3 linked regions of the Notamacropus eugenii genome follow. The protein of the gene in region 2 binds, or shares a complex with, the protein of the main gene of each other region. Links are inferred from orthologs where the notes say so. Each region holds a gene or a part of one and is shown on either strand. Other genes may lie near its edges. The genes, in order: FLNA, ITGA2B and ITGB3.

The links.
Region 1: the proteins of ITGA2B (region 2) and FLNA are in contact, whole or in part, in an NMR structure (PDB 7SFT), measured with the Homo sapiens proteins. The link is inferred for Notamacropus eugenii from reciprocal best matches to the Homo sapiens genes ITGA2B and FLNA. Residues at the interface, in NP_000410.2 of Homo sapiens: Trp1019, Lys1020, Val1021, Gly1022, Phe1023, Phe1024, Lys1025, Arg1026, Asn1027, Arg1028, Pro1029, Pro1030; in NP_001104026.1 of Homo sapiens: Thr2263, Gly2267, Ala2268, Gly2269, Gly2270, Leu2271, Ile2273, Ala2274, Val2275, Glu2276, Gly2277, Ser2279, Ile2283, Phe2285, Asp2287, Arg2288, Lys2289, Gly2291, Cys2293, Val2295.
Region 3: the proteins of ITGA2B (region 2) and ITGB3 are in contact, whole or in part, in a cryo-EM structure (PDB 8GCE), measured with the Homo sapiens proteins. The link is inferred for Notamacropus eugenii from reciprocal best matches to the Homo sapiens genes ITGA2B and ITGB3. Residues at the interface, in NP_000410.2 of Homo sapiens: Gln49, Phe52, Arg72, Trp141, His143, Asn145, Glu152, Ala153, Glu154, Lys155, Pro157, Arg184, Phe191, Tyr197, Glu199, Phe202, Pro217, Tyr221, Phe222, Phe262, Asp263, Tyr265, Tyr268, Thr290, Trp293, Thr294, Gln315, Met316, Ala317, Tyr319; in NP_000203.2 of Homo sapiens: Ser188, Pro189, Tyr190, Tyr192, Ile193, Ser194, Pro195, Pro196, Tyr204, Asp205, Met206, Arg242, Asp243, Pro245, Lys279, His281, Ile282, Ala283, Leu284, Asp285, Arg287, Leu288, Ala289, Gly290, Val292, Gln293, Pro294, Asn295, Asp314, Tyr315.

What each region holds. Positions count from the first base shown.
Region 1 is NC_092879.1:9,764,858-9,772,303, forward strand, and holds the start of FLNA (filamin-A), read left to right. Parts: upstream 1-4,348; 5' UTR 4,349-4,487; intron 4,488-7,446. Other genes in the region: uncharacterized protein, read left to right, coding at 73-174, 1,992-2,114. UniProt on the Homo sapiens protein: Promotes orthogonal branching of actin filaments and links actin filaments to membrane glycoproteins. Anchors various transmembrane proteins to the actin cytoskeleton and serves as a scaffold for a wide range of cytoplasmic signaling proteins.
Region 2 is NC_092873.1:349,591,142-349,598,996, forward strand, and holds the start of ITGA2B (integrin alpha-IIb), read left to right. Parts: upstream 1-4,811; 5' UTR 4,812-4,899; coding exon 4,900-5,084; intron 5,085-5,803; coding exon 5,804-5,925; intron 5,926-6,094; coding exon 6,095-6,192; intron 6,193-6,486; coding exon 6,487-6,649; intron 6,650-6,844; coding exon 6,845-6,894; intron 6,895-7,096; coding exon 7,097-7,142; intron 7,143-7,588; coding exon 7,589-7,717; intron 7,718-7,855. UniProt on the Homo sapiens protein: Integrin alpha-IIb/beta-3 is a receptor for fibronectin, fibrinogen, plasminogen, prothrombin, thrombospondin and vitronectin. It recognizes the sequence R-G-D in a wide array of ligands.
Region 3 is NC_092873.1:346,313,695-346,321,532, forward strand, and holds the start of ITGB3 (integrin beta-3), read right to left. Parts: upstream 3,052-7,838; 5' UTR 2,610-3,051; coding exon 2,546-2,609; intron 1-2,545. UniProt on the Homo sapiens protein: Integrin alpha-V/beta-3 (ITGAV:ITGB3) is a receptor for cytotactin, fibronectin, laminin, matrix metalloproteinase-2, osteopontin, osteomodulin, prothrombin, thrombospondin, vitronectin and von Willebrand factor.

The sequences.
Region 1 (7,446 bases), on a different chromosome or scaffold from region 2:
CCTTGCCTTTCTATAGCTTCAGGTCATTAGAAACCTAAACTTCACTGACATCCTTCTCCATTCTTGCCACAGGCAAGATCCCAGCTCCAGGCTCTGTGGCAGGAGGATGGTGGCCTTCAAAGAAAGGGCCTCAACAAGGAACTGAGGGCCTGGCCTCCACAAGTCCCAAAACAGGTGAGACTTTGACTTCCCCTTCATCTGGGGCAAAGTAGGGCCAAACAGAGACCGAGTTGGAAAGAGGGGCCCTCAGAGATCAGCCTTCCCTCCCTCTCCCCCCCACTTCTATTTTAGAGATGGAGAAAGTGAGGTACAGAACTGAGGATTGACTTATTCAGGTCATGCATCTTAGTCAGAGGCATAGGCAGGGCCCTCGTCCATCCGTAAATGAAGTAGTACCAAGCAACACATGGGCAGACATACATCCCCTGGGACCCATAGGCACAATGAAGGAAGGGCCTGGGTCAGGGTTAAGGGTCCTTATTCACCCTTGCTTGCCCACTTGGCCCCTTCCAGCTTAGGGAACTTGAACCCACAGGTTCCCTCTCACCCCCTTCCCCACCCCTTGGGATGAGATGTCAACAAAACAGTCTTCCCCTGGGTTGGGAGCATTAGGGACCTCTGAGTCGCGCCCCACCCCATTTCTGACTGCAGGGTAATGAAGCCAAGCTTCCAGCCTGGGATTCACCCTGCTGTACCCAAACCCAGAAAAAAAGAAAGTCATCTCTTCTTTGTGCGGGTGGTCAGGGAGGTTGGGGGGCCTAGGGGGAGGTGGAATGGGCTTAGGAAAATTGGGGCTTGGTTAGGAGTTGGAAAGATACCCAGGAACCTTCCCTGGCATGGCTGGTGCCACACCCTACTCCCCCAGACTTGGGCACAGGAGGCTGATCTGGATGGAAATATTGTGAAATAAGGCAGAAAGAGGAACTGAGCCAGAGAGAGAGACCAAGAGAAAACTGAGAGAGAGGGAGACAAGAGAGAGAGAGAGAATAGGCAGGCTTTTGGACAGAATCCTCAGTGATATCAGAGGCCAAGAATGAGGCCCATTTCCTTCATTTCTTTTAGGATCCTTTTCCCAGGTCCTAGTTCAGAGAGGGACTGAGACTGGTCAATAATTGGTTGGAGAACAGGCAGGCCAAGGGGGGCCCATCTGGGACAGTTTCCTGTTATTTTGAAGACACCTTGGATTGGGAGACTGCTGCCTGGACTAAGGGGAGGACAGAGACAGATATGGACATTTTCTCTGAGTCCCTGATAGGCCTGGGCCCCAGTGGGTCTAGGAAGTAGACACTAGCCACAAAGAGACCACTCTTTGCCTTGAGATAATAAGTCAGACTAGGAGTGCCCAAGAAACCTGCACTGATTTCCTCCCAGACTCTGGTTCCCCCCAAATGTAGCCAAAGCCAAAGTCCTCCTGAACAGCAGGTGCTGAGAAATATTTTCTCAAAGCATGGCCCATCAGAGCTAGAAGGGACTTTGGGGACCCTTGTTCTACAGGGAAGGATTGGGGTGGGGCAGGGGAGACAAGGCCTAGAGAGGGGAAGGATCTAACAGAGTTAGTGGCAGAATCCAGAAAAAAGAGCAGACCTACTGACCATTCAATCCATGTGTATGCCACAGTAATGCCCCATTTGATTCAACAAGCTCCCATTGGGTGCCAGGCACTAGGCCTTGGTCTCCATGAGGAGATAGAACCAAAAGGGAAGCAGCCCCTGCCCTCAGGGAGTTTATGTAGTGCTGAGGGAGAATGAAGGAGGAGGAAATATAAGATATAAACCAGGAAACACCAGGTGCTGAGACAGGACCTGACAGTGGGCAGAATGGGAAATGGCTTCTTGGCAGGACGCCCAGAAGGGAGGGAGCCATTTGTATGTAGCATGTGCAAACATTCTACCTCAGCTGAGTACATTGGCTGTTCTATGAAGATCCCTGAGGTGGCTGTGGTGGGCATGGGAGACACTTAGGGCTCTTTTCTCCTCCTCCTCCCCCCCCAGCCCCCAGTTGACCTGCTAGTAGCCTTGTGGCTACTGCGGGAATCGGGTCATTCTGGTGGCTCACCAGGCAACAGAGCTGAGCCTATGACGGACATCTACCTGCCCAGCTGTTGGAACCTGTGAGCCTCCTGAGGGAAGGACCCCTGCTTGTAGGCCCTGTTCACCTTTGTCCCTGGCAACCCCTTGGGATCTGGGGCTGGGGAAGGGCCACTGCCCTTTGCCACCATGGGAGGATCTAGAGCTGTGGGGGTACAGTAAGGCTGGGATCTGCCACCCCCTGACCCCACCCCTTTAGGACCCTCCCTCTGCCTTTTCAGTGTCTGGAGAGAGTTCAGAGAGCTCTTTCAGGCACATCTTCCCCACCCCCACCCCCACCCCCCATGGTCATCTCCTCAGTTCTCTTCTCTCCTTTGTCTCTGTGTTCCCTTGTGCAATCCATCCCAAAGACCAGAACCTTAGGAGCCAGGCCTGGCTTCCATTGAGGGTGGCAACTTTTGAGAGTGTTGTCTTTGTGTCTCCCCAGGGCCTGACATAATAGAGGCTAAATAAAAGCTTGTTGGTCAGTTGAAATCTTGACTGTTGTCACTGATTATCCTTCATTTTGGGGAAGTATAAAATCGGGGAGGGAGGGTATGAGTCTAGGGAGAACAGAGCAGGAGTAAGACTAGATAATCTCACAGGGCCTGTTCTCCTCTAAGACTCTGGGGTCCTAGACCTCTGTGAGCTCCAGCCCACCCCTACTGGTCCAGTTCTGGGCCAGACTGTGCTGAGGGCAAGAAAAGGAAGATTCTGGAGAAGTCTTTGGCTTCCTCACCCCCACTTTCCTCCCACCTTTTGACCCTACTTCCCAGTTAGGGGACATGGTGAAGTTTTAACCTATAGGTAATGCTACTGTTTCCTTACTGCCTTTAAGGGAGTCACAGCTGGATGATGCTCATGGTCCTCCATCAAGCCAAGGGATTAGATTGGATGACCTCCAATGGCCCTTCCAGCTCCAAGTCTAGGATTCTGTGATCTCTCTCCCTTCCCCTTGACCCTATCCCTCCCCTGCTGATCTACCTACCTCAGGTCTCCTCCTGTGGCCCTGGATCCTGACACTTGGCTTTTGAGGAGGCAGGGAGGGGCCCATGTTCCCCCTGTATCTGAGAATGGGGATGGATAGCTAGATGCTCCTAGAAGAGGGTGGCAGTGTCCTGGACCCATACCCCCACCAGCCCCCTTCCCCCCCATGGCATTTTTATAATATTGCCTTATATTCTAATACACTATTAAAGCTGGGAGGGACCTTAGAGAATCTGTAATCTAATCCAATTCCATTTGCCAGATGAAGAAACTGAGGCCAGGAGAGGGGTAGGGACTTATCCAAGGTCACACAGGGAATGAGCCAGGAATCCCAGGCCAGGATTGTTTCCATTTTCTTTTCCATTGCTTCATTCAAAAATAATTCTGTTAGGGGCCAACTATGAAGAAAGAGTGTGGGCTAGACTGGGGAGCCTTGGAGATCAGAGGGAGGGGAATGAACCCTGAACAAAGGAGGACGCTATGGAGGAGCAGAAGGACCCAAAGAGGTGGAGCCACCCTGGGGGAAGAGGGTCCCCAACCCAACTATAGGAGAGCAGGAAACAGCTTCAGGGTCCCTGTCCCCATTATTGAAATAGAATTTTGGAGAGGAAGAGAGAAAATGGGGGAGATGCCCCCTCCCCTGCCCCAGAGTCTACGCAGCTCTCCAAGGATGCTTTCTTCCTCTCTCATTCCAATCTGCTCCATCGATAATATGTGATTGAAGTCAAGGTCCACCCAGGAACTGACCCCTGACCCTCAGCCTAAACAAGAGATAGGAGTGTGCCTCCTTCTTTAACCCTACAAGTCAGCTTGAACTTGGGGGAGTGGTGTTGTGAAAGGAGAGCATTCAAAGTAAAGGGGGTCTACGAAACTAAGAGGGCACCCTAGTGCAATCCTCCCCCTCCTCCTCTCTTTGCCCCTCTGGGGTGGGGGTAAGGGTGCCCCCCCCCTGGGCTGGAGGCCCGCTGGGCTGTGAGCTCATTCCCCTAGGGGCGGGGTCGCCGCCAGCAGTGCCATCACCCTTCCCCCTCCTGCCCCCTCCCCCCCTCAGTTTCTCCTTCACTCTTCCTCTCGCTCCCTCATTCCGGGCTCCCCGGCGACTTTACCAATTAAGGCTTTCTCCGCCCGAGCCGGCTCGGACCCAGGGGGGGTCTTACTGCTGACAAGAGGTGGCCCCGGCCAGCGGGTGAGTTCCCGCAGCCCAGCCCAGCCGAGCCGAGCCGCCAGGCAGTCAGTCTGCTGGCCCTTGCCCTTCTGGTCCTCGGCACGCTCCTGGGACCCGGCTCCGGATCCTGCCCGTCCCGTCTCGGGCCAGAGCCGAGCCAGGGAGCCAGCACAGGTCGAGGTGCCCTCGGCTGCAGGTTCCCGGCTCCCGATCCCAGGCTCTCCAGGCTCCGGAGGCTCTCGGCTCCCAGCTCCGGCTCGGGGCTCCAGGTAAGACAGCTGCTCCCGGTAGCACCCTCCCATCCCACCCCGTGCTGCTGGCTACTGGCACCCGGGAGCCATACAGGCAGCCTGGCTTCTCTATCCTGGGCCTGCCCAGTCCCATCTAAGGCGCGTTCCCCTCCCCACTCTACCCCCCTTCCTAGTCACCACAGGTTCTCTTGGCCTGGACATCCTCTGTCTTGGCAGGGGGCAGAGTCAAGTGGGTAGGAAAGATCAGGACCCGCTGAGTGGGCAAAAGGAAGAAAGAGGAAATCCATTCAGGGGATAGATATTCGTGGGTGCCTGACCCTCCATTTGTGGAGAACTGCTGTGGATGTGTGCAGGCAGGCAGGCAAGACTGGGGAATCAGGGTGGGGCGGGACAGGACAGAGAGATGGACATGACTCCAGGTCACTCTGTAGATGGATATGTATGATTCTAAGTCATTCTGTGTGTGTGTGTGTGTGTGTGTGTGTGTGTGTGTGTGTGTGTGTGTGTGTGTGTGTGATGGTCACTCTGGGGATGGGTGTGTAGGATTTCAAGTCACTATGTGTGTGTGTGTGTGTGTGTGTGTGTGTGATGGTCACTCTGGGGATGGGTGTGTAGTATTCCAAGTCACTGTGTGTGTGTATGTGTGTGTGTGATGGTTACTCTGGAGATGGATGTGTAGGATTTCAAGTCACTGTGTGTGCGTGTGCGTGTATGTGTGTGATGGTCACTCTGAGGATGGATGTGTAGGATTCCAAGTCACTGTGTGTGCGTGTGCGTGTATGTGTGTGTGTGTGTGATTCCAGGTCACTCTGTGGGTGAGTGTGTAAAATTCCAAGTCTGTGGATGTGAGTGTGTAAGATTTTAGATCATTCTATGTGGGTGTACGTGTGGAAGATTCCCAGTCACTCTGTCAGTGTAGGTGTGAGTGTACAAAGGGGTATGGGGGGGGTATATAAAATTGTCACTCTATGGACATGTGTGTGCATACGTGTGTGTGTGCATAAAAAAGTGGCCAGGCTCCTAGCCACTTGATAGCCATGTATTGGGGAAACCAAAGAGCCCAGTAGCCTCCCACCAGGCACCCATGGGAGCATGTAGCATCCCTTGCCAGACCCTGGGGCTGCGCTCCACTCCAGCTGCTCTGTGAACAGTGCAGTGTGTCTCGGTGGGGTGTTGGGGTGGCATGGACAGGGAACTTCTTGGCTAAGTCTGAACTAGATCTGTCTCCAGTTCAATTGAATGGTGCCAAATCCCTGGCTTCCTCCACGGGGCAGTCTGAGCCTCCAAACAGGGTGCTGTTTGGAAACTAGGGATGTGTGGCCCTGGGTGGTGAGGAGTGAGGCCCCACAACTGGCACAACTGATACTTCCTCTGATTGTGTCCCCCCCATCCACCCATCCCCTCTGCCTTCCAGTCTCCCCTCTTCTTTGGGGAGGAAGTGCTTCGCCAGAGCCCCACAACGTCAGGCCAGCATGAATTTAGAGTTGGGGTTAGGTAAGGTGCTCTGGGAGAAGCCTCTGTTGCGGGCTTCAAGTCACATTCTGAGGCTCTCAGGCAGGGCCGTGAGAGACTATGAGACTGGGGAAACTGAGAGCCCAGGAAGGGAAAGTGAGAGGAAGGAGTGGGCCCATTGCCTTAGCTAGCCCATCACGCCAAAGGGAGACAGCCTTCGAGTCTGAGCTGCAGGCAATGCTGTGTCCTGGACAGGGGAATCGGGGAGGCAGCAGGCCAGGAGAGGGGCGTGGGTCTGAGGCTATGTCTGACTCCTCAGTCTCATTCCAAATAAGGGAAAATATGAACTCGCGGAATTTCAGCTTCCTCGGACAGGGGAGCTGCTGGGGTGTGGAATGGGGCGTCCCCTAGTGTCCAGATGTCCACACTGCAATCCCAGGTGGAGCTGGGGTCCGTAGAGGAATCCATCACAGCTGGAGAGACATCCGAGGCTGTTCTACTAAACCCCTTCTTTTTACAGATGTTTTGGCAGCCTGAGGCCTTGAGAGACAAGTGACTCATTAGCAAGTGACAGAGTAGGGTTTGAACCAGATGCTCACTGTCCTCAGTTCCCAGTGGTGCAAATCCAAGAACAGGCTTGCTTCTCCTCTCTCCAGCTCAGGGAGCAAAATCTAATGGGATTGGGTGAATTTCTCTGGGAATTGGGGGCCTGGGGCTGGAAACTAGAATGCCTGAGGTTAACTGCCTCCCCAAACAGGAGTTGATTGATGAATAATCCCCTGCATCAGTTCTCCCTTCCTTGGAGAGCTGCTTCCATTGAGACCTGCAGAAAGAGCAGCCCAAACGCCAAACTCAGATTTTTAGGCATATGTGTTCACTGGGTTCTGGGTTCTTTTCCACTGGGCTCATTGCAAGGGGAGGGATGGAGGACACTACTGAATGTGAAAAAGAGACTGTATCAGAGCTGGAACCTGTATCAGAGCGAGCTCTGCCCACCCCCATAGATGGACATGAAAAAGACCAAGGAGACTGAAATAGACCCAGAAATGTGCTGGGAGGGGAATGAGGCCAGTCTGGAATTAAAAATAGTCCTCAGGTAATTCATAAAGTGATCTAAGTGAAAGTTGACCGTATTTGGATGGGTCATGCTGCAGAGACCATGGCCTCCTCCTTCCCATCCTCCCATTCCCCCCTCAGTCAGAAAGAAGAGAGTGGTGAGGAAAGGGAGGGGAGATGAGTTGGGAACTGGTCCAGTAGTGACGCAGGATTTCCTGGCAGATAGATCAATGACTTAGGTCTTCAGGTTCATTCAATGGAGAGAGCAAGGCACTGTTCAGGGGGCCCAGAGCTGGAGAAAGGAACATTAGGGCTGAAATGAGAAAAGCCAGGCACTTTTGAGGGGACAGAGTCAGGGGCAACTGGGAGGTAACCCTGTCTTTCTCAGCTCTTTGCTCCTTATACCGAGAAAACCCTCCCCCCAAATCCCAGAACAATAAACATATTGGCTCCTTCTAGCTCCCCTCCA
Region 2 (7,855 bases):
CAGATCTTGAATTATCTGCTTATTCTCCAAATTCCCTGGTACATTCTCTTTACTCAATGAGTTTGGTGTTTTGTTCAGTCTTCGCTCCAACTCCTCCCTTCATAAATATATAAGCATACGTATATGTATAGGTATTGATGTTCTCTCAAATATCCTATTTCTTATTTGGTCTATTTCATTTACATGATCTATTTCTTCATTCCACCTTAGCAAGACTTAGGTGGACATTCCTTTGATCTTAACCATCACCCATGAATGTACCTATTTCATGATTATGAACCCCTGATTCCCTTGTCTGACCATCTATCTGTATCTTATGACCCCAGTCTGTTCTGTCCTCACTTTCCCAGGCCATCACTGCAGCAGTGGATACACTCTCATCCTTTGCCAATCTCAACCTTTTGGTGAAGCAGTTTATACTCTACCCTAAACCCTGGATTACAAACCCCATCTGCTACTTTTACTTTTATACTGCTGAATAGAAGTAGGGTGGTCACAAAACTATTTGATTTTTTACAAAATTTTTAATGGCCTTTATTGCATCAAAGCACTTCTCTCCTTAATTGATGCTCTGTTCCACTCCCAATGGTGACTGTTTCAAACATTTCTTCCTGCCTGTTACATTCAGCACTCCTTCCTCCAACGATCTTGACAAGATCTATATGTAACCTTGATCCCATCCTGTTCCTTCTTCAGCACATTGCCCCCCACTATCATCTTCAAACACTTCCCCATCTGCTGGCTTCTCTGATAATCTACAAACAAACCCAGGTCTCCCCCATCCTTAAAAAGGCCACATTTGATCCTACCATCTCCCATATTTCTTAATTTACTCTTTAAAAATTCATTTAAACTCTACTTTATAAACTACAACCTGACTTCTGGCCTCATTCAGTTGAAACTGCTCTTTTTACTTACATTTTATTTTAATAAAAAATAGTTCAATGGGAGGAAGCATTGAAAAATTAAAAGAAAATAAAATCCTTGTAAACAAATATGCATTCAAGAGAAACTAATTTCTGCATTGTCTGTGTCCAAAAAGTACTTCATTCTGCACCAACTCCATTGGCTCTGTCAGGGTGTGGGTAGCATGTTTTAACATGGGTTCTCTGAAGTCATTTCACTGATAAGAATTAAGTCTAAGTTCACTCTCTTTACAGTATTGTTGTGTAAAGTATTCTGCAGAATCTATGTCTTCACTCTGCACCTCTTCATATAAATCTTCCCAGCTTTCTCTGAAACAATCCCCTTCATTTCTTACAGTAAAATAGTACTCCATTATGTTCATATAATTATTTCTTCAGCCATTCCCCAGTTGAAGGACACTTTCTTAGTTTTCCAGTTCTTTGTCACTATAAAAAGAGCTGCTAAAAATATTGTTTGCACTTACTTTGCTTTCTTTAGGCTAAAAATGCCAAGGTAGGTCTCTGGTATCAATCAGTTCTATATCTGGTATCAATAGTTCTAAACTGCTTTGCAGAATGATTGGTCGGCACCAACTTCTAGCTGAACAAGAAAGAGAAGAGAATATGCAGTTATATAGTGTCTGCTGTATCTCACACTGCTAAGCACTCATAAATAGTATTTTATTTGATCCTCACAACAACCCTTCCAAGGGTTGAGAAAACAGAGTAGCTTTCCCAAGTTCACACAGTTTGTGTCTAAGGTCATATCTGAACTCATGTCTTCCTAACTTCGGGTCCAGAACTCTATCTACTGCACTACCTGCTGTTTAAATCATTTTTTACATTACTTGTTTAAATTGCCCAAGATCTGCTTTTTCACCTTACCATCCACCCCCAACTGAGGACATATAAAAGTTAAAATCTATTACATATATAGTCAACCAAAACAAATTTCTATATTGGCTAAGTCAAAAAATAAAAAAATTATTCTGAATTGAGTCCTTCACCTGTCTTTCAGGAGGTGGGTAGCATGTTTCATCATTAGTCAATTTCATTGTTAGTCCTCTGGAATCCTTGTTGGCCATCACACTGGTAAGAGCACACCATAATAGTATTCTATAGCATTTCTATTCCATAATTTGTTCATCTGTTCACCAGGTTATATAGATACATAGATATCTATTGGTAAGTCCAGGGTAAGTCCCTATCTTAAAACATCTGACTTCCTCCAAGACTCAATTCAAATGCCACCATCTGCAGAAGGGCTTTCCTGGTCCCCTGAGCTATATCTTTTTTTTTTAATTGTCTTTCCCATTTGAACATTTTCCTTGAGGTCAGACCTGAATTTGCCTTTCTTTATATTCCCTATATTTAGCACACATTGCATAGTACGTAATAAAATGTTTGTTGATTGATGTAGCTCCTAAGTTTGGGCTACTTGACTTTAATATCTTTGGATATTTCTAGACAATATCCTGATCTGCTTTTCTGGACATGCTACACTTTGTGATGTTCCCCTTAAATTGTGGCATGCCTGACTAAATACTTGTCCAGATGCGATCTGATCAGGACAGAGCACAGTGTGGCCAATAACTGCCTGCTGGGTACACGATGCTTATGGTTAGTGAGCCTAAGTTCTGCTTTAGTATTTTTAGGATCCACCACCACCATAATTCACAATGAACTTGCAGTCCACTAAAACTCAAGAGGTCTTTTTTCATCTAAGTACTTTTCTAATTACACCTCCCCCTCTTCCTTCTACAGTTGAGTTTTTAGATTCGAATGCAGGGGTTTACCTTCTATAAGTGGTAAAACCCAATGATGTGGCTTCCATCCCAACACTGGGAAATCTAGAGGATCCCCCCTCTAGCTCAGATCCCAACTCTCCCTTAACTGCCTGTTCTATATTGGTCTCTGACTACTTAAAGCGCTTTATGTGTTTATGTGTTTTCCTCTCAATTTGACCTTTCATAATACATGCTTGTCTGTTACTGTGTGTCCCTTTTTTTGTGTGTTTGAGCTTTAAGCTTCCCAAGGGCAGGATCTATCTTAATACCAATTTCATGTCCTCCATATTTCTGAGCACATAAACACTCTGGTATTTATAGAATTGAATTTTATGCTCAATAGAAGCAAACATAACCTGACCACCTGACCTTTCACACTGGGGATTTCATGGGGAAATAAAGGAAATAAGTGAGAAAGGTTAATTAATAATCAGATATCAGACATGGTATGTATTTTGAAGGCATGAGACAGGAAGTGGGAGTGAATTAATTTGAAACTTATTTTAGTTGTAGTCCATCATTACCAGTACACACTTAAGTATGCACATGCTAGACTTGGTTATATATGGCTTAAAAGATTGCTGCCTTGAAGATTTACACATTCCCAGTGGAACACTATGATAACTATGAAATAAGCACATAGATGGGATAGAAAACTTGTTTCCGTAAGTGCATAAAGGGAATGATGAGGAGAATAACATTTATTAAAAGTACCTGCCACATCCCTGACCGTTTGCTAAAGCACTTGACAAATACCTCATTTGATCCTCACAATAGTCTTGTGAGGTTGATGTAATTATCTTTATCTCCATTTTACAGTTGAGGAAACTGAGGCAGACAAAAGTTAAGTGACTTGCTATTAATTCTTTGTATCAACTTGAACTCAGGTCTTTGTGACTGCCAGCTTAGTAGTGTGTTCATTGGCACCATGGCAGCTATGTAACAGTAATCAGTGAATGGTGACAAGGGTGGGTAAGGTAGCTCTAGGTTACACAGAACGTTTCCTGGAGCATGGGGTGTTTGAGATGAATTCTAAATGTTCCACAACAAGGTGCTTGGTATGCCCCAAGCTGGTAGGTGTACTCTCTGTCCTAAAACAGCTCCAGGTTCTATTGGAAGGGTATAGCAAAAATAAGACAATTAAAGACAAAGTATAGGTGCTGAAGTGGATAGTGTGGAGCCTGGAGTCAGGAAGACTCTTCCTGAGTTCAAGTCTGGCCTCAGACACCTACTTGCTGTGTGACACTTAACCTTATTTGCCTCAATTTCCGTATCTGTAAAAATGAGCTGTAGAAGGAAATGGCAAACCACTGCAGTATCTTTGCCAAGAAAACTCTACATGGGGTCACAGAGAGTAGGATATGATTGAAATGACTCAACAACAACAAAATATACAAAGTAATTTCTAGGGGAAGGCACATGCCTAATCAGAACAGTCTAACAACAGAACTGAGGTTTCAGATGGCACAATGGATGGATTGAGGAGAGGGATGCAGGAGGGATGGGCATCTCTTGCTTGCCTCTGACCTCTTCTTTGTTCTGCTTCCTTGATTACTCCCGTTTCTGCCTCATGTGCTTTTGCTTTTTGTCAGGGCACTCTGCTCTGGATAGCTTCTCTCACATTCCTATGCTGCAATGCTTCCATTTGACTCTAATTCAGCCTTACTGTCAGTCTTCTGCTGAGTAGCCAAAACAGACTAAATGCCAGAGGCCTCAGACACTATTGCCCATGATTTGGTATGACCAATTCACTAGATAAGACTTGAAGGACCCCAACCCCACTTCCTTAGAGGAAGCTGCAGAGCTGTGGTAATGATCATTGGTCATTAGAAGCAAGGAAACAGCTGCCACTGATATTACTCTTGTATCTGCCAGGCAAGGGAGAAGATGGGGGAGGGGAAAGAAGTATTTTCTTTCTCCATTAGGGAAAAGTTAAGATCTTGTCCCCTAACCATAGGGTGCTGCAGCTCCCAAGGGAGTCAGTTCTGAATTCCACCCCAATACATTCATCCCAAGTAGTTTCCTCCACCTACCTAACCAGCAGACTCAATGGGCAGTATTATAGGAATGTTGTCTCATCTGTCACTCAGGGAGTTATTTTGGGGACCAGCTTGATAAGGAGCAACTTCCTGAGGTTGGTAGTGGTGGGAGTGGAAGAAAAGAACTCATTTTAAAGAATTCTATTCAGGGGCATCAGCAGGAGGAAGATGGTTAGAACTCAGTGCCTGCTGCCTGCTCTGTGGCTCTTGGGATGGATACAGCTGCTTCTGGTGCCTGGTGGTCCCCCAGTCTGGGCCCTGAACCTGGATGCTGCGCAGCCAACCCTGTATGTGGGCCCCAATGGCAGCCACTTTGGATTTGCTCTGGATTTCTATGAGGATAGCTATGGCAGGTAAGTCATGGGCCAAGGAAAACTAGATTGTAATACGGACAAAGATGTGTGAGTGCATCTACAGACATAAACCTTTAGGAACATTAGGGCAAAGAAGGCTGTCACCTGGGTTCCTCAAATCATCCACCCACCAACCTGAAGCCTGAAATTCTACCCTTCATTCCATTTCATGGTGTGAATGAAATCTTTCTTTATTAAAATTTCACTATCTCTAGGAGAAATTCTACTTTTAACCCTTATTGAGCATTACCTCCGTGGGAAGCAGTTTTTATGATCGCTTCCAAAGAATTAAGAGCGGGACAGATAAAGTTTTGTGTTGGTAGGAGGGACGGGGCTGGAGGTGGGGAAGCATCACAGAACCCAGCTAGAAAGAGCAGACTTAAGTAAAGGGCTCTGGACCTGCTGTGGTCAGCATGAAAACAACCAGATACGTAAAGAGAATTCAGGCTGGGCCGGAAAAGAAAAGGAATTAAAGACAGACATTATTTATTGTCCTGAGGGCTAGGCTTAAATTCCCCAAGTGAAATGGAGACACTCTTCCCCAGCACACACCCAAGGGCATGGTTTATCATCCCTAAACTCACTTTCCCTCTTACATTACTATGAATCCGTGCCCCAGCCTTTTCCCACAATGTTTGATCAGCCTCATCTTCCTGTCCCTGTGCCCCATGGGTGATGCTGACCAGATGGCCTCAACTCAGGCTCCTTTCTGCCTGCAGCTTTGGCATTGTGGTGGGAGCCCCAAGGGCTGTAAGCCCCCAGGGGGAGGAGACTGGAGGTGTGTTCCTATGTCCCTGGGCAGCCCAGGGAAGTAGCTGCAGTCCGCTGACTTTTGACCTCAGTGAGTCTTGGGCCCCGGATAGGAAGGGGATGGGGGACGAGGGGAGATGGGAACTATAAAGGGGGAGGGGGAGGGTTACTCCACTAGGAGAAAGGTCTTTGCATGGTCTAGAGAGACCATGAGAAGTGGTCCCTGCTTACCTCCAACCCAAGTTCTCTCTCCCTTCTAGAGGATCAGACCAGCAAGGTGGGCGCGATCACCTTCAAAACCTTCAAGACCAAGCAAGGGCTTGGTGCATCCGTTGTCACTTGGAAGGACAACATTGTGGTGGGTACTGGGCAAGCATGGGTCTTGTAGTATGGGGACCAGGCAGGTATGAAGTAGGGCATTGGACTGACATGGAAGAGCTAGAACTTGGGCATTGGATAGGCAGGAGATATGGAGAGGCACTACGATGGTCACAGAGCGAACACTGGGCAGCCGTGGCCAGGCAGGGAGAGGAGAGGAGGGAGGAAGGCAAAGCCAGGTCACAAAGCCCTGAGTGCGGGGGAGGCTGCGGAGAGGGGAATCCATGCGCGCCCCCTCAGCCCCAGGACCCTCTACGTCCCGCCCCTCCCGCAGGCATGCGCTCCCTGGCAGCATTGGAACGCTCTGGAGCAGACCGAGGAGGCCGGAAAGACCCCAGTCGGGAGCTGCTTCGTGGCGCACCTCAGGAGCGGCCGTCGGGCAGAGTATGCTCCTTGCCGGGAGAATGCCATGAACCAGCTCTACTTCGGGAACTCCCGTGAGCCACACCCCGTCCCCGCGACTCGCCCAGTTCCTCCCGTGGGGCTACCCCTACAAATGGCCGGGCCTCTGAGGGCCCTAATGGTGGCCACGTCCCTCTCCTTGGTCCTGCCCTTTAGTTCTCGGGAGGGGCCCTTAGCCAGGTCAACTGACCTGACTCCTCTCTTTTCATCTCTTCTCCACCCGGGTCCAGGCAGAGACTTGCGCTACTGCGAAGTAGGATTCAGTTCCACGATCACTCAGGTGAATGAGGGGTGCAGGGCAGAAGACGAGAGAAATTAGAATTGGGGGGCAGAGATGGGATTCAGAATAGGGGCACATTCTGAATCCCCACAATAAGGGGATCTTATTAAATGTTCCTTTGATTTGATTATTGAATTGCGGGGAGGGACCTGTCAGCCTGGGGAGCTTCTCACCCTTCTCACCTTCTGTACTTTCCTTTCAGTCTGGGGAGCTGGTTCTGGGGGCTCCTGGAGGCTACTATTTCCTAGGTATCATCCTTCCCTTACGCTACTCAGCCCCACTTCCCCTCTTTTTTTTTTTTTAAGTAGTTAAATGGGAAAGTTTTATTCGATAAATATAATCTGGCAAACTTCTAAAAGATTTACTGACAACTGCACAGTATGCAAGCTTCATTAACTGTCAGTGTACAGAAAATTTTTAAAAGGATTTCATTACATAGCCAAAGTGTCTGAGGTCCAACTTTTCAACTAAGTATTGCTACAATGAACTTCCCCTCCTCTCTCCGATCAGTTTTGTTCCCCAGGAGAGATGGGTGGCAGAACACCATCCTTGGCACCCTGAGTGACTGAAATGGGAACGCCATCCTGACCCACAATGCACTATCCCCCCTGTTCTGGGCTGGGTCATTGGACTTAGGAGTGCTGCAGGGAAAAGACTTCACTAACCTCAGACCAAACTGTCTTCCACTCATCAGGTCTGCTAGCTCAGGCTCGGCTTTCTGATATCATGTCCAGCTATACCCCATCCTCACTTCTCTGGACCGTGCCTTCCCAGCGCCTGAGCCAGGACATCTTTAAGTCTGAGTACCAAGACGCCTACCGGGGTATTGGGTCCTTTCCTCATTCCCCAGCCCATGGTCATCTGCCCTACTCCCATTCTCTTGCCTACCCTCATCCACTCGTTCCTCCTTCCTTTTGGTCCTTAGCCTTTCCTTCTAGGTGAGTGGGTGGAGGAGTGGTGC
Region 3 (7,838 bases), about 3.3 Mb from region 2:
AAGGTAGAAATAACAAGATTTGGCGACTGACTAGAAGTGTAGGGTGAGGGAAAATGAGGTGGCAAGATAACGCCAAGGCAGTAAATAATGTCGGTTAGTCATGCATTTATTAAGCACTCACAGAACCATCACTGGATGATGTAATACAAATACAAAGAAAGACAAAAATAGCTTCTGCTTTCAAGGAACTTACATTCTAATGGGAAAGACACTAGGCACATACATAAGTAAATGAAAAACATAGACAAAATGAGTGGAAAAGGGAACCTTAGAAGAAAAGGCTCCAGCATCTTTGGGGACCAGGAAAAAACCAGCTATTGATGTGGTGCTTGAGCTGTGTCTTGAAGGAAGCCAGGGATTCTGAGAGGCCAGTCTGAGGAAGAAGAGCGCTTGAGGCTTGGAGAACAGTCAGTACAAAAACTGGAGATAAAATATTAGGTGTGAGAAAGAGTAAATAGGACTGTATAGTTGATTTATAAAGGTGTAGAGTATAAAGGTCATAGAATGGAAAGCTAGGGAGGGGTCAAGTTGTGAAGAACTTTAAATGCCAAAGGACTATATAGTTGATCTGTAGGTAATAGGAAGCCAGGGGAGTTTACTGAGTACTGGAGTGACACTGTCACGCCTAAACCTTAGGAAAATCACCTTAGCAGCTGTAGGGAAAATGAATAGAATGAGAAGATACATGAGGCAGGTTGATCAATTAGATGGCTGATGGAATAGTCCCGGAGAGAGATAATAAACTAGGTTGGTAGCAGTATAAGTAGAGAGAAGGGGATCTATTCAAGATATTTGGTAAACCTGAGTGACCAGAAGGCTGGTATCTTAAACAGAAGAAGATATCTTCAACAGAAACAGAAAAGTTTAGAAAAGACGGAGTTTGAAGAGAAAGAAAATGAGTTGTTTTGGACATGTTAATTTTGAGATTCTCTATTTAGACATTTTGCTCACCTGAGTTTTATGAGACAGTAGTATGGTAGACAGCAGAGGTGGGAAAGTGAATGACATTTATAAATAATTTTTAAACTATAAGTGTTTATAATAATTACATGTTCTATTTTACATTTATAAATAACTTTGAAAAAGTGCTTTGAAAACCTTAAAAGATCTATGTAAATGTCAGTTATAATTACTAATAGCCTCAGCAATATAACTCAAATGTTCCTCCAGCCTTCTGGAGAACCCTCCTCTTGGGCAATGATTCCTTCTTGGGTAACAATACCCATTCTGTGTCCTCACACAGCACTTTGCGTTTTAACTCCCTAATAAACATGAGTTCTAATATTGTGTGTTCCAGTTATCTGCCTTTGTCTTATCCCCTACTAGGCTAAACCCCATATTTATCTCCCCACAATGTTTAGTGATGTGCTACACTTTGCACGTAGTAGATTCTTGTTGGCTGATTAAATAAGTCAACTCTGTGGTCCTCTGAGCATGTAAGTCCCATAATAAATAAAAATAAAACCCCCAGAGAATAATACTCAGTTAGCTGCGGGTTATTTTGACCCGCACCAGTATTTTCTGCCTCCCTAACAAGGAAAGTCCCAGAAAGTAGAAGCTGTCTCCAGCACTCCAACTTCTCCCTCCCTTCAAAAGAGGTCCATGACCTCTCAGGAACTCAGATATGTGAATCCCTGTGGACTCATCAACCACACTCTATCTCATCCAGGGTGGATCAGGAGGAGGAAAGTAGGAAGCCCCTGCTCACCTCCCAGATGGGGACATAAATATGGAACTGTCTGCTTGTGGCCCGAAGAGCGGGTAAGCCTGAGATCTACAGCAGCAAGATTTGAGTCCTGGAGCCTCTAAGAAGTCCTTATCCCGATCGGAGCACCTTTCCTGGTCTCACTTCCTGGTCTCACTTAAGTGAACCTAGACTTCACTTAACGAAAGCGGAACCCCAGCCTTGTTTTGTACCTGTAAGTAGCCTTCTGTCTGAGCATCAGTACAGTAAGACCACAGCCTCTACTGACACTCGGGAAGGCAAAGCCTTACCAATAGCCATATCACCGCAAGAGGAGAGAGAGAGAGAGAGAGAGAGAGAGAGAGAGAGAGAGAGAGAGAGAGAGAGAGAGAGAGAGAGAGAGAGAGAGAGAGAGAGAGAGAGAGACAGAGACAGAGACAGAGACAGACAGAGACAGACAGACAGAGACAGAGAGACAGAGACAGACAGAGAGACAGAGACAGACAGAGACGGAGAGAACCAGAGAGACAGAGACAGAGAAAGAGAGAGAGAGGGTGGGGGAGACAAACTACCTGGAGATGAACTTCTAGTGCAAACCCGAAATAAGAAGACAACACGGAAAGATCCACACATCCCCAACGAGCTGCAAAGTCAGAAATCCCTGCACTGAGGACTCGCACCCAAAGGACCCGCTATTGAGCTGCACAAAGGGGACAAGACCCGACAGTTGCGGATCACTCAGTTCCGATGCCTGGCAGAGCACAAGTCGCGCCCGGACTCCTTCTGTAGTCCCTTCAGCGAGCTGGGGTCTCCCAGAGCCCGGATAGCCTCGGAATCCGCGGCCCGTTTGGTGCCACTTACCCTGGACTCTGCCCGCCAGCGCCCCCAGCGCCAGCAGAGCCAAGCAGAGCTGCCGCGGTCCCATTCTCGTCTCTCCCACCCTGGCTCTGTTCCGCGATCCCCTACAGTTGGGTGCAAAGCGCAGGACGCCCCGCAGTCTTTTTTCCCGCCCCCCACGGCTTCCAGGAGGGTGGGGACGGATGGAGGGGGTGGGACTGCGCGAGGTCGGGGGGAGGAGTAAGCCGCAGACTCCCTCCCTTCTAGCTGGAAAAGAGGAGGGGCTTTTGGGGGGGCGGGGGGCGATGGGTCTGGTTCTTATCACCTTGGGGCTGCTGCCAGCTATCCTTAGACCATCTAATCCAACCTCAGTTTTGAGAGGAGGAAGCCGAAGCCCAGAGAGGAAAAATTCTTTCTTGTGTTCCCCTTTCACGCCACCCCCGCCCCAACTTCTAGTCCCCGAAGGAGTACAGCTCAGCACACCCGAGGGAAAGATGAAAAGTGGGGCGGGAAGGGGTAGGAGGCCGAGCTGGAACTCGCGTAGCCAAAAGGGAGCAGAGAATGGAGACCGTTAATTAATTCAATTTAAGAAATGTTTATTAACCTCCGACTGTCTGAAAAGAGTTGTAAAGGACTTGGGGGAAGATCCTAAGATAAAATATGATAAAATTCCTGCCCTCTCCCCCTCCCCCGCCCCAACACACACACCCAAGGAACTTATAATAATAATAACCGACATTTATAAATCCCTTTCTGGTTCCCAAGCTATTTAGGTTCATTATTCTTTGTTCCTTTGCATTGTCTGCCATGGAAGCCTTCAGGGACTAATAGAGAACTCATTGTTCTCCATTCTCGGGTTATTCTCAGTTAGGACCTGATAGCTTGGTACTGAACCGGTCCGGGCTTGACACATGCCAGTTAGGCTTGACACAATCCCCAGCTAGACTCCTGGAGGGCAATTACATTATTGAATATTGTCCCCAATTGTTTAAGTGCTGGTCAGGTAGCAAACCCTATATATAGACACTTGTTGGATTGAAGGGCTACAATAAAGTGTTCATTACCTCTAACTGGATTTATTCTCTTTTTTCCTAGAGCTGATAGGAAGTTTAAAGCTCCTCTAGTTCAACCATTTCATTTTATATTTTGGAAAATAGAAGGCCAGAGGAGAACTTATTATTATCTTATTATCAAGAAATGTCATTTCCTTAAGATTGAAAAGCCAAAGTTAGTTGCAGAGCCAGGTCTAGGATCAGAGCTGTCTCTAAGCACATCAAGGTAATCACTAAATGCCTTAGGAAAAGAGGGAAGGGAGGGAGGAAAGGAAATAAACATTTATTAAGCACCTACTATGTGCTAAGCCCTTAACAAGTGTTATACCATTTGATCCTCACAGCAACCCTGGAAGGTAGGTGTAATTACTCTCCCCACTTTATAGCTGAGAAAACTGAGACAGAAAAAGGTTAAGTGACTTGCCCAGGATCACATAGCTAAGAGTAAGTGACTGAAGTTGGATGTGAGCCTTCTGGACTCCAGGCCCAAGGTGGTCTAGTTGGTATCTTTTGGAAAAAAGAGAGGAAGATGTTTGTGAACAGTTTTGGCAAAATGGGTGTCATGTCCAATTCCTCTTTGTTTAGTGACAGGTGCAACTGTAATAATATATTTTATGAAATCTCTTCCTTGAGAAGAGTAAGAATTGGTTGCTTGGTGGCTAAAAATAGGAGTAGGACATTGAAAGTCTGAAAATAGACTCCTTGACTGGTTAAAAGTGAAATTAGGATTGTAAATGAAACAGTAATCTCAATCCAGAGGAACCAAGTAGGATAATCCCAAATGGTGGTGAAGGGAGATTTGCTATTTTCATTTTGGAGGTAAAAAGTTGGAAATCGCTAGTTCACGGTGTAAGCTTTTAGACATGAGAATAAATAAAGGGTTACCTTAAACCCAGGAAGTTTGAACTAAATCATAATTTACTCAAAGTGGGAACTACCTGTTCAGAGGAGAGTAGTTTATTGCAGCATACTCCTTTTCTTCCTTTAAAATAAAGTTTAAAAACAAAGAAGAAAACTCACTTATGGTCTGCAGTGTGTGGTGGCAGCAAGGGAATAAAAGAGAAACGGAGGGATGGGTACCATCAACCAGAGATGCCAGCAATGGTTATAGAGGAAGAAAAGGTAACCAGAGTTTGTGAGACAGATCTCTGAATCTAAGGAACTAGGAAAACTCAGTGACCTAGAAGTTTAGGGATTATTATCCCAGCTCAACATTAGGAATGAATAAATTACCTGTACTACTCCAAAGAAATAAAAGGAAAAGGACTCATATGTAAAAAAAATACTTATAGTAATTTTTTGTGGTGGCAATGAACTGAAAACTAGGATTTTAATTTCCCATCAATTGGGGAATGGCTGAACAAATTATTATAATGGGAAAAAATTGTGCTAGAAGAAATGATGAAAGGAATGGTCTCCGAGAAACCTGGGAAGACTTGTAAGAACTGAGTCACAGTGAAGTGTAAGAACAATTTCTGTAATAATGACCTTGCATAAACAAGCAACTTTGAAGAGCTTAAGAACTCTAATCAACAAAATAATCAACCAGAATTTAAGCCAGAGGACCAAAAATGAAGTATACTTCTCAAAACCTGACAAATGATGGACTCAAATGCACAATGAAGTAGATGATGGTGATGATGATAATGATGATAGATACATAGATACATAGATGATATATAGATGGATGGATGGATGGATGGATAGATAGATAGATAGATAGATAGATAGACAGAGATATAGATTTTTTTGGAGACCAACAAGATGTATTCTGCTTGATTATATATATTTGTTACAAAGGATTAATTCTTTTTTTCTTAATGAGGGGAGGGAAAACAAATGCTTATTAATTTAAAAATAAAATTTAATTTTTAAAAACAAATTAAGGGATACATAAGGCTTAAAAATTAGTGAGCATAAAGTTCTAAGGCCAAAAATGGAGGAAAAGTTAGAATTCTCCTGAATTAGTTGAGAAGGAGCTCAGGCCCCAAGAGGAACATGGAGGCCTGGGACCCACACTCGTGAAGAAGATTCTTCTTCTGCTGTAGAGCTCCTAAGTCTCACAGCATCTCACTCAGAATCTTCCTTCAGCACCTGGGGCCTTCTCACCCTGGAATATCCCTCTAACTCTATTTTTGTGATTGTTGTTGATCAGTCATTTAGGTTGTGCCTGACTCTTCATGACCACATTTGGGGTTTTCTAGGCAGAGATACTGGAATGGTTTGTCATTTCCTTCTCCAGTTTATTTGATAGATGAGAAATACTGAGGCAAACAGGGTTAAGTGAACTGCCCAGAGTCACACAGCTAATCTGAGGCCTATCCACTTCACCCTGTACCTTATGGCCTCTATTAATAAGTTCCTTCCAGGGTCTCCATTTTGGGAGAACAACCCTGGATAACCAGCTTACATTTCCACCCCCCCACCGCCCCCACTCTGCTTCAAACTCTCTGGACTTCACCACCATGTTCAGTACCTCCCCCGCTCAACCCTGTTTTTCAGCTCCCTGTTATATATTGCCTTTCCCCACTAGTATGTAAGGTCCTTGGGGGCAAGAGCTGTTTTTCTTATATTTTATCCTGGCATTATATCACTACATATATATATATTTCTTATATTTTATCCTGGCACATAGTAACCCCTTAATAAATGCTTCTTGCCTAACTGCCTGCTTTACACAAACAGACCTAAATCCTAAAACCCTAGAATTAGCTTGAATTGTGCTGTCTGTTGTCTGTCTGGTCCCTTTTCTCCTCTGAGTCAGTCAGTCAGTCAGTCAACAAATATTTATTAATCATCTGTTATGTGCCAGGAACTGCACGAAGTATAAGTCACAAATGTCAGACCTGCAAGCACAAAGGTCCTGGGATTCAAGAGTAGAAAGGATTTTTTTTTATTTAGTATTTTATTTTCCCCCAGTTACACATAAAAACAATTTTTAACATTTATTTTTAAAATTGAGTTCCAAATTCTCCCCCTCCCTCACCACCCCACTCCCATTGAGAAAGCGAGCGATTTTATAGAAGTTATACATGTATAGTCATGCAAAACATACTTCCATATTAGTCATGTTGTAAATGAAAACCTAGACCAAAATAAAAACCTAAGAAAAATAAAGAAAGTAAAAAAAATATACTTCAATCTGTATTCAGACTTCATCGGTCCGTTCTCAGGCGATAGACAGCATTTTTCATCATATATCTTTCAGACTTGTCTTGGATCATTGTATTGCTGAGAATAACTAAGTCATTTACAGCTGATCATCTTACAATATTGCTGGCTCTGAAGGAAATAGTGAGGCTGGTGACTTTGCCCAGCTCTGCCTCACTTAAATCCAATTCACTTGCAAGTCAAGATATCACCTTCCTATTGCCATCAATTCTCTTCAAGAACTAAGGATAAGCAACAATCTGAGAGTCAAAGTAGCTGTCCCACTGGGATATATTTGGAGATTTCTCAGATTAAACTGTGTGGAAACATAGCAAACCAAAGAGATAATGATCTTTTTGTGTTCGCTCCTGACATCAGACCCTGCCCATGTAAACCTAGATGAAGAGGGAACCCTGGACTAAGAGCTACACACTTAAAATGTAAGCTCTTTGTGGGCAGGGACACTTCCACTTCGGTTTTGTATCCTTGCCCCTATTGTGGTGCCTTGTACATAGTAAGCATCTAATAAATGTTTGTTTGAATGAATGAATGAACAGCAAGTCATTCATCAACACTAGACAGAAGTTCAAAGGGAAAGGAAGAATTTGTTCAAAGTCCTTCTGGGAGACAGGATGGGGACCCCTGGCACTATTTCCGTTATCTTTCCCTGTCACACCACACTATTTCCTCTACTACCTTCCTAAACCCAAACTAATAAGAGTTCTCAACCATTATCCCCACACCATAAGATAGAGGGTCAGGGGAAGGGACCAATGATCTTTCTCTCTCCATTTAAAGGATTAGGACGCAGTTCTCAAAGTGGGGTCCGGAGAACCCTTTCAAGGAGTCTGCAAGGTCAAAACTATTTTCATAGTAATACCAAGACATTTTAATTTCTAATATGATTAATATTGATAGCTATAACCCACAAAACCAAAAATTCTCAAAAATTTTTAAGAATGTAAAATATCCCAAGGCCAAACATTTTGAGAAGCACTGGCCTAGGATGTCCTTTGGGGACACCTTGAAGGAAGGAGGAAAGTTGTACTCTCTGAAAAGCTGTAGGAAGGACCTGTAAACCTAGACATGATGACAAAATCATAACTAGGAATTAA